2 linked regions of the Drosophila melanogaster genome follow. The protein of the gene in region 1 interacts with the protein of each later gene in a pairwise test. Each region holds a gene or a part of one and is shown in the gene's direction. Other genes may lie near its edges.

Region 1 (5,911 bases):
TCCGAACGCGAGGCTGCCGATCGGAACTATGCCCTGGGCTTCTACATGCGGGAGAACAAGTGCTTCCCCAAGCGCACCAATCTCAAGGAGGTGATGGACTTTTACTTCCAGTGCTGCTCCATGGAGACCAACTGCGAGGCAATGTCCGTAATCGCGGCCAGTTTGGCCAATGGTGGCATCTGCCCCACCACCGAGGAGAAGGTGTTCCGGCCGGAGGTAATCCGGGATGTGCTCTCGATTATGCACTCATGCGGTACATACGACTATTCCGGACAGTTCGCCTTCAAGGTGGGTCTGCCAGCCAAGTCTGGAGTGAGTGGCGGCATGATGCTGGTCATCCCCAACGTAATGGGCATCTTTGCCTGGTCTCCGCCCTTGGATCACTTAGGCAATACAGTGAGAGGACTACAGTTTTGTGAGGAGCTGGTCTCCATGTTCAATTTCCATCGCTACGACAACCTGAAGCATCTGTCCAACAAGAAGGATCCGCGGAAGCACCGCTACGAGACCAAGGGTCTGTCCATCGTGAATCTACTCTTTTCAGCTGCCAGCGGCGATGTTACAGCCTTGCGGCGTCATCGTCTCTCCGGAATGGATATCACTCTGGCCGACTACGATGGTCGCACTGCCCTCCATTTGGCTGCGTCCGAAGGACACTTGGAGTGCGTCAAGTTCCTGCTGGAACAGTGTCATGTACCACACAACCCCAAGGATCGCTGGGGAAATCTGCCCGTGGATGAGGCAGAGAACTTCGGCCACTGTCACGTGGTGGAGTTCCTTCGCTCCTGGGCGGAGAAGGCCGACCAGTCCAGCGAGGAGTGCAAGCCCGAGGCGGTGACCAGCAAGACACAAGCGGATGAGGTCAGTTCAAGTTCAAACTCAAGTTCAAGTCCAGGTTCAAGTCCAGGTTCAAGTCCAGGTTCAAGTCCAGGTTCAAGTCCAGGTTCAAGTCCAGGTTCAAGTCCAGGCTCAAGTCCATGTGCAAGTTTAACGACGGGGGACCTTTTGGGGCACAATTCCAGAAATCTATATGAAATGCTCAAGCTGAATTCCAATTTCACCTTCCAGGAAATCTGCAGCACAAGCGACCTGGAGACCAGTCCGACAACCAGTCCCATTCCCACTCCCGTGGAATCCGGATCCAGGGCAGGATCAGGACGGTCCAGCCCGGTGCCATCGGATGCGGGCAGCACGGCGAGCGCCGGAAGCAGCATCGATGACAAAACCAAGCCGGGACTATAAGCGTACAGAGATCCAGGATCCCAGCCGAATCTCTCTGACTAAATTATTCGCACAACATTTTAGTTTATATATGATGTATTAGATTAAAGTTAAGAGTACCCAAAATACCATCAGTTCACGCTGCTTGGTTAGTCCTATATAATTTGTAGTAGTCATCCCACGTGCAAGTCGTGATCCTTCGAGGCGGATCCACTGCACGAGCGGCATTTGTACTTGTACTTGGTAGCGCTTAGTTAGCCACAAAAATTCCATGTTATCCTACGAAACAATGACAATAATCTTAACGGATATCTAACTTTCCCACATAACTGGGGTCTGTGACCTGCCTAAATGTATTGCATTCGTACTTGTCAATTGATATTTGTATGCGTTTGAATGTGTATTAAGAATCCCGTTTAAAAAGATCATATGTAAGTTCAGATATACATATTTGCTTGATGGCAATTGAATATATACATGTTTAGCTGAAAACGCACACAATATATGGCATATCGTTACTTAATGGGTCTTTTGAGGTTGGAAGATTATACATGATATATAAGAATAATAAATAAAAGATGTTTACTTACTAATTTTCTTAGAGCAATCGTAATTATACCTTTTTAATCATTAACATCAAAATTTTAAAATATGAACTCTATATTTGCATTCAATCCTGTTTTAAATGGTGTTTGAATAAATCAATTAAATTATATTGATATTTTTAAACAAACCAGGAAAATTAGAATTGATTCATTGGCAATCCTTTGGGGTTTCAAAATCGATGTATTTAATTCAAACACTTTTTCATCAATCAATTTATTCTACATTTCATGTAAATAACTCGTTCCCCTTCTACACGTATGTGCTATAAACTTTGAAAACCGAACGTATTTTACACGAAGCCACAAGACACGAAGCTGGATTATAGCACCATTATGGCATGTCATCGGTTAGTTTTCCCAGTGCCGCATGGCTCAGTTCGTTCGCAGCATTCGTGGAGTTCGGACGTGAATGTGTTATTGACTCACAGCGTTTGTGTTCCGTGCCGGTTTGTTTGCGGAGTTTCCATCATCCGTCAGCTCCCTTGCAGGCCGCTTCATCTCCGCCGGAGGAGGGATGCACTCCGTTCGCGTTCGGGCAGATGAATTAATTGTGGAAAATTGTTAAATTCCAGCTCGTTGAAGCGGCCGCAAATCCAATTAAGCGCATACACCATTCGCGCGGAGAGTTTGTGCATAATAGAGTAATTAAGTTTTCATTGAAAAGGGTTTTTGACACCGCACCGTCACACGCCACACGAACTTGGGGTAGGTTCACATTTTGCCGCAAAGACAGCAAATCGAGAGTGGCAAGAACAACAGGAGCATCGTTTCCGTTTCCGCTTTGCTAGCTGGTTTCTCATATAAGAGTGCATAAAGCACAGATTTCGCCAGACCCAAATCGGATTATTAAGTCCCTGCCACAAAAGGATGTCTGTTGTGGGAAGACTAGGCATCCCAGGCAGCCTCCATCCCAACCCATTCCGTCTCCCAGGCCCCGATTTCTGCATCCCCCCCCCTTCCCCTTGACAATCTCTCTGCACAAGTCATAGTCTGCATATCCGGGCCTCGAAATATTTGGAGCCCTTCTTTTGTGAGTGGATTTTTGGCCGCTCGCTTTGTTTGTTTGCTTCATTTGGCGCAGCTATGGGCAGCGTCAGCAGCTGCGGGATTGCATAATGTCCAGCTTCCTCTCCAGAAAGTAGCCCACAGCGATTGGGGATTGGTAAGTGGGTCTGCCCTCTGGAAACAACAAGATCTCAAATCTAATAGGAAATTCTTGATTCTTTTCTTGGGGGACATGTACTTAGGAGGCTAGAAAAGCTTTTAAAGCGCCAGCTAATTAGTTCATATTAATTAAAGAACAAATCACACAAAGCTATTATAGAATTTCATGGTGTGTGAGAACTCAATAATTAACAAAGAAATCTTATTTATTTATTAATAATAATGGAAGCAACTGCTCCATATGCTACGCTACCAACCATTAATGGTTACACAAAATATTACTTTGTATTTATATTACTTTGTATTTTTTTAGCTAGAAATACTTACAATACATACTTGTTACAAAGCTTAAATAATCTTCCGAATATTACTCAAAGTAATCAAATTTTATAATTTTGAGAACTTTACTTTGCTCCCCAAAAGAGTGAATCAAATGACTGAGGGCGAGAGCCTTTGGTGATTCCAATCAAAACCGAACTGCATGCACCCGTAACCCGAACATGTCTCTCTCTCATTTACTAATAATACCCTTGAGTTGGGACCTGTATAATCAGCATAATCCAGGCAGAGGGAATGTCAATCCCCATCGTCCAGTTCCGTGGGAACTGGACACATGTGTGAGTGTGTGGATAGGGACAGTGGGCTATGCAAACGATTCGCAGGAATTTCGGAATGAAGGGGCGGACTGCGGTTGCCGGTTGACTGGTTGACTGGGCAAAGGAAGTTGGCTTCGGCATCAGCAAATGCCAGGCATTGATGTGTCCATCAAGTGTCTCTGCATCGAGTTCAACGAACCCCCAAGAACTAGAACGTCCAATAATAATTGATTGGTGGGAAAGCAGGAAAAGGGCGCCGAACGAAAGAACCCACACACACTCTAAGCAGGAGTATCTGGAGTATCTGGAGTATCTGGAGTATCTTCGACATGACGGGCGACGTGAATCGGAAATTGGCGCTCTCTGCAGAACGCATTCGGACGTGTGATGAGCCAATTTCACACATGGCAGAGGCGGCGGAAAAAATACACGAAATCCGCAAGACAAAAAAAAAAAAACACAAACAGAGAGCGAGCCAAGTGCAATGCCCTGGACTTCAGTTGACGCTGCACTTTTGCCACCTTGTGGAGTCGCCAAAAATAAATGCCAAAAGCCATTTCCACTTCCCGCCATGAAAAGCGACTTCCCCGCTTATAATGCTTGCTTCTCCCCATTCGAAAGGCCCATATATTGTACAGAACTATATATACAGACTTATGGCGGCGCCGCCATTCATCAACAGATGAGAGCTACACCCCCTATTATTATGCAGAGTTGCGGATGTGGAATCAGAAACTGAATCTGAATCGGAATCCTGCTGCTGCTCTGTTGTTCTCTCTATTAAAATGCCACATTTAAATGCCCAGCCTCATAAACGTTTCTCTTCTCGCAATGCAGCCAGTCAGCGGAGCAGAGGCATCAAAATTGATTGCTTTCACATGGACACGAACTCGGTGAGTCCCCTTCCGCCGATGGAGGAGGCCATGGACAGGGTCAGCGAGAAGTCGCCCCCGGGAACTCCCAATGGCATCGAGATGCCCCCGCCGCCGGATGAAAAGTGAGTTGAGCCAAAAATAGACCGTGAATCTGTGTAAAGTCTGTTGCTTTAAATATTAAAACAGCTCTTATGTAGGACCAAGTGTGATATAGATGGTCAAAGATTGCCTGCCACAAAAAAATCTTAAGAAAATTTAAGTTAAATGTTCATCAGTTCGAGGAAAGCTAAGTGTTAAATTTATTATTTTTGTAATAATAGGAGCAAGATTTAAAATTATAGATACAATAAGCATTTCGAATATTTACGAAGCCTTAGGGTTTGAAGAATAATTATATTTCTTATGAAGATGCTTTATTGTTATGCTATTTACTTTTAAATATTTTTATATTTCTTCGGTTATATTTTAAAAAGTTCTCTACCACACGACCAATTAATCCCCCATGCCCAGCTAATCAACACAATTTAGTCAACAGATTCCCCAACACATTTGTTTATCAATATTTAAGTAAATTGTGTCACTTATGCATAGCAAATTCGAGGCGGGCACAAGAACGTAGAGACCAATTTCCCCGGAGGCCAATTTGGAGCTCTTGTCTAGCCGACAATTGGCCTTGCCCATCTCCGATGCGATGCTCATCTGCCAGTTGGAAGCTCTAACTTGGGATGAGAGATATGTAAAACATGAAAAGACTTAGATACCCGGCTATTCGTACGCTGGCTTTAATCGATTTTAATGGCACCACGCGGCGTATGTGTAATATTTACATGAAATAGTGCCCGAGCACGTCAGGAATTGCCCCAAAGACTAATTAACAATGACGGTGAACGGGAAATGTCGACGCCTACACACCCTTTCAGGAGGTCCCGGTTATTTTTACGCGCCAATTTCCTAATTCACGTATCTTTGAAAGTCGTAAATTTTATTTTAATGCGACCTCGTTGCAAATCACACAAAAAGCCGGACACATCCTTCCTGTAACCCGTACAGGCCCACAAATTCAACAGTTGATCGCGTGCGCCCAACTCACATAGTAACTGGCCGTAAACATTTCGCCCGGAATCCTCCATTCTCCCACGTCCCTTGGCCATGTCCTTGTCCAATTTCTGGCACGAAGCTTGGTAAGCTTCAAGTAATTACTGGTATTTTTCCTTCTCTTCCCGAGGACTCAACCTTTTCGCCGCCTCGTTTTCATTTCATTTTCATTTGATTTCCAGTAATTTTTGGGCGAGGTGCCCGCACAATACCCACTTGGCTTATGGGCTCCAAGGAGCCGGAATAATGACCCAAAGTCCCAGGGTGTGTTTGTTGTCTTTGCGGTTAAGTAGGAGTGGGCATGTTCTATGAAGTAGATGAATGTTGATGAGGTTCCCTATCTAACTCCCGCTCC
Region 2 (4,705 bases), on another chromosome or scaffold:
TCCCTGGAGATCCTCGACTTGAGCTCGAACCATGTGGGCAATTGGTACCGCAGTGCCTTCCACAACAACTCCGCCCTAAGGGTTTTGAACCTGAGAAGCAACACCATCAACATGCTGTCCAACGAGATGTTGAAGGACTTTGAGCGATTGGATTACCTTAGTCTCGGGGACAACGACTTTATTTGCGACTGCCATTTGAGAGCGGTGGTGGAGGTGGCGGCCGCCAATAATAAAGATGCAGACTGCTCCTATAGACTGCTGAACTATAGTCAGAATGCCGTAGGTGAGGAGGTAATATCTCTGGCGGAGTCACTAATTATAGATCGCAAGCTATGGCAGAGTCGCTATATTCCCTGGCTGCAGAGAAGTTACTCCAACATCAGGGAGTTCAATCGCGCGAATCATATAATCAAGCTGCGCTTCTCCTCCGAGGACTACATGGTAGCCAAGTGCTCCGCGGCCCAGCCATACCACTTAGGGGACCTTGACGGAGATCTTACCCTAAAATTTCAGCTGCTCGACTACGAGGCCAGTCAGTATTACTGCTTCAACAACACCGATCAGCTCCAGGTGGATGAGCTCAACTGCCAGATCAGGTCGATGAGTGACCTCGCCGAGGAGTTGCACCACGTTACGAACACAGTGATCGCAGTCATGGGCAGCTTAGTTGGCGCTTGCATCCTGGGATTTATAATTTATCTGAAGCGCTGGCACATCCACTACTATTACTCTTCCCTGAAGTCCGCTGCCTTGTTGTCCAGTGCGTCCAAGGAGTCGGTGAATAAATTCACAAACATATCCCAGAGAGATCCCAGTGCCGTCTACGATATCTTCATCAGCTACTGCCAGAATGATCGGACCTGGGTGCTCAATGAACTGCTGCCGAACGTGGAGGAAACTGGGGATGTGTCCATTTGTCTGCATGAAAGAGATTTTCAGGTGAAGCGTACTTATCTTACAACATTAACTTACTAATAAAGTGAAACCTTAACCCTTAATTCACATGCAGATTGGAGTGACCATCCTAGATAACATCATCTCCTGCATGGATCGCTCGTATTCCCTTATGCTGATCATATCCTCCAAGTTCCTGTTGAGTCATTGGTGTCAATTTGAAATGTATTTGGCACAGCATCGGTAAGGAATCTTTATCTGTAAAATTCAAATATTAAAATCAATATATGTGTGTATATTGTAGCATCTTTGAGGTCAGCAAGGAGCACTTGATCCTGGTTTTTCTGGAGGACATTCCACGGCGAAAGCGACCCAAGACTTTGCAATATCTCATGGATGTGAAAACGTATATAAAGTGGCCGACGGCCAAGGAGGATCGAAAGCTGTTTTGGAAACGTCTGAAGAGATCCCTGGAGGTCATAGGGATCAACTCCAGAGAGATCAGTGTTTAGAAAACATGTAATTTTATCCGGAGAGTTCTAGTCAGTTGTGCACGTACCTGATATAGTATATAAACTACTTAATTACACTTTCATGAAGACGAAAGTTTCCCCACAGTAATCATAGTAATATGCAAAATTTGCTGCTGAACATAAGTATAGTTTAAACATATATTAATAAATAAAGGTATTTAGGTTTTTAAGAGCTTATGTGATGTTTTTGAAATATCTTAACAAAGGCAATAGCGTCGTATATTAAACATAACCTACTACTACTGGACACTATGTAAACAAAGCTAAGGCCTAAGAAATATCTAACAATGCAACACACAATCAATACATCAGTACCAATTGACTGATAATAACAATTAAAAACGTTTAATTTTGAAATACAAATTGAATAAACCGCAAGCATCGATAATGAGCAGAAAACTATCGATAACAACTGACACAGCTGATATTTGCCATCAGTAGTTTGCGCGCCAAAACAACAAACGGGCATTCCACAAATTGTAAATTACTATAGCAATTCCCGCGACTCACAATGGAGTTTGGTCTGAAGAAACGCGCGAGACATGAGGTGAAGGTGGAGGTGGCCAGCCTGGAAACCAAGTACCCGCACAACGTCATGCTGTACCACTATCCGCCGACGGAGGACGTGCACATAGACGAATTCGAGGAGCTGGCTCTAGAGCGCTTGCGCCTTCTCCGCGTCCTGGATCGCGCAAGCACCCGGAACCTGCGCGTGCTCTCAGATGAATGGAAGGAAATCGTGAGTGCGGACCTGACCCGCGAGGGATTGCGCAGCTATTTAAGGCTCTGCTCCACCGGCGGAAGCGCCAAGCACGAGGCGGATATCCAGACCCGCAGGCGGGACTATCTTTCGCACTTCATCTTGCGGCTGGCCTACTGCCGCTCCGAGGACCTTGCGCGCTGGTTCGTGGCCCGCGAAATGGAGCTCTTCCGGTACAAATTCGCTGCACTTAGCAGCTTCGAGGTGAAGCAGTTCCTTGAGGCCAACGGCTTTGAGATTCACCCCCTCACCGAGGCCCAGAAGGACGAAGTCAAGGACGGCCTGTACGAGAGCACGGTCGGACAGAGCGTGGCGAAGATCGAGCTGTTGGACTTCTACAAGGTGCCCTTCACCCAGGTGCTCGATCTGGTGCGCGGACGTCGCTGCTTTTTAAAGGCTGGCTACGCCTATGTTAACACCCACGACCTGGTGTCCCTAGTGGGCACCAAGCAGCAGGACGAGATCGAGCAAGGCCTGCAGGCTGCTAAGACTATGGTGGAGGATGTAGAAGCCGACGAGCGCATCTCCCGCACACTTAAAGCTCTACATAACTCGTATACCGGTAGGGATTACACCGTTTGTCGGGATGCAGCTGTGCCCATCGAGTCGCTCGATCAGCTCTCCAAGACCTCCATGCCGTTGTGTATGCGCATGTGCCACGAGCACATTCGTGCCAACCATCACATAAAACATAGCGGCCGAATGCAATACGGCCTGTTTCTCAAAGGAATTGGCGTGGCACTGGAGGATTCGCTGCGCTTCTGGCGCGAAGAGTTTACCAAGAAAATGGACGCGGATAAGTTTACACGCAGCTACGAGTACAATATTTACCATAACTACGGAAAGAAGGGTTCCATGGTCAACTACACACCCTACTCGTGCGCCAAGATTATCAAGGATGTGGCGGGGCCGGGCGATTGCCACGGCTGTCCGTATAAGAACATGGATCAGGGCTCGTTGAAAACCAAGCTGTCCTCCTATGGCCTGTCAGCCAGTGCCATCGACGAGGTGATGTTCTTTGTGTCCCGCGGTCACTATCAAATTGGATGCGGCAAGTACTTCCAACTTACCCACAATTCACCCGTCGAGCCGAGCATCAATCACCCCAACAACTACTTCGAGGAGAGCCAGATAGCGATGGGCAACCGGCAGAAGCGCGCCAATGGTTCTGCTCCGCCCAAGGCCAGAATCCGTCCAGATATCAAGGGCCATGGGGATCGGTCCATGCTGATGGGTGACGATGACGATGAGTTGTGGCGAATCGCGGAAACCCAGGAGCGTATCATGCAGAGCCAAAAGGACATATCCGAGGCCTTCAATGATGATCTAGATCTTACGCAAATCGATTACTAAACGTTGTACAACATAAATTAACTAAGGTACATATATATTTAAGCATCGTAAATAAGAAAAGTTATATTATTCCATGGTTCGGACTTCACCTCCGGCACAAGTAGCACGTTTTAAGCCTAGGATCAACAGTGTTCTCCGAGTTTCGGCCGTAAGGGGGCCAGCCATTGACATCTACGTAGTAGATGCCCCTGGCTTGGGGATTCATTCGATAGCCCATCGGGGAAACTATGCCAGCAGAACAATCCCGTTTTCTTAGCTCATCCCAAGAAGCGCACTTCTTGCCCATAAAGTTCTTCTCTTGGTGTGGATATGCACTCTCGGCGAAATACTCAACGGCTCGGGTATGAGAGCATCCGATGGTTAGGCAGCCTGGCTGGATGGGATGTGCTCCGCCGGGATAGAAGTCCACATCACCGAGGGGTCCACGCTTGGCCAAAATACCAATGTTGGTGTGGATTATGTCCACTAGCTTGGCATCGCCACGCGTCAATCCTGGCAGAATCTTTTCCCGCCTGAAACATGGCTTGGCCGGATCCAAGCCAGTTATCCTGGGTATAAGTTTTCCGGTAAGCTTCTTAAAAGTCCGACCAGCAGTGCCCATAATGTGAGCTCCTAGTGAATGTCCTACAAAGAAATCAGAACCAGAATTTATGGACACAAAGGATTCCTTTATGAACCCACCAATCAAGTGAATATTTCGAAGTGGGGTCAGCTCTATAAGGTGGGTCAGACCAACTCCAATATGCTCTCCAATTAAATCCGTGTTCAGCGCCGACCACGCGTAGAAGGTGTCCACATAGTCAGCCGCATCTACAATCTGAGATGGAAGCCTTAGATATGAACTTTCAGAATTGATTCACGAGACGAACCACAAAATTCACATCGCCACGACACATGAATGCCTTAGAGATCATCGAAATGGCCGAGGATTCGTTTACGGTGTTGGTCCATCCGGTGGCCAGAATTACCACCTTACGTCCCTTGCTGAATCGAGAGTGCTTCCACAGCTTCGAGGCCTCCAGCAGGGGCACACTGTAGTTCTGGCACGGCGTCATGTACTGAAAATGCATCTTCCTTATGTCCGGAGTGATTTGCGCAGGGATTCTGTCCATAAAGAGGGTGGAAGAACCTGGCATTTAGATCACAATAAAATCAAATAACTTTT

The links. Proteins that work in one complex are often made in the same cells at the same time.
Region 2: the proteins of nemy (region 1) and Prim2 interact in a two-hybrid assay, tested with the Drosophila melanogaster proteins (one large-scale study listed by BioGRID).

The regions. Positions count from the first base shown.
Region 1 is NT_033778.4:12,666,507-12,672,417, reverse strand, and holds the start of nemy (no extended memory), read left to right. Parts: upstream 1-2,198; 5' UTR 2,199-2,531; intron 2,532-4,423; 5' UTR 4,424-4,464; coding exon 4,465-4,583; intron 4,584-5,911. Other genes in the region: GLS (glutaminase), read left to right, coding at 1-1,242.
Region 2 is NT_037436.4:20,358,741-20,363,445, reverse strand, and holds Prim2 (DNA primase subunit 2), read left to right. Parts: upstream 1-1,860; 5' UTR 1,861-1,938; coding exon 1,939-3,540; 3' UTR 3,541-3,613; downstream 3,614-4,705. Other genes in the region: Toll-9, read left to right, coding at 1-939, 1,010-1,137, 1,199-1,406; CG5665 (uncharacterized protein), read right to left, coding at 3,626-4,357, 4,410-4,669. UniProt on the Drosophila melanogaster protein: Regulatory subunit of the DNA primase complex and component of the DNA polymerase alpha complex (also known as the alpha DNA polymerase-primase complex) which play an essential role in the initiation of DNA synthesis.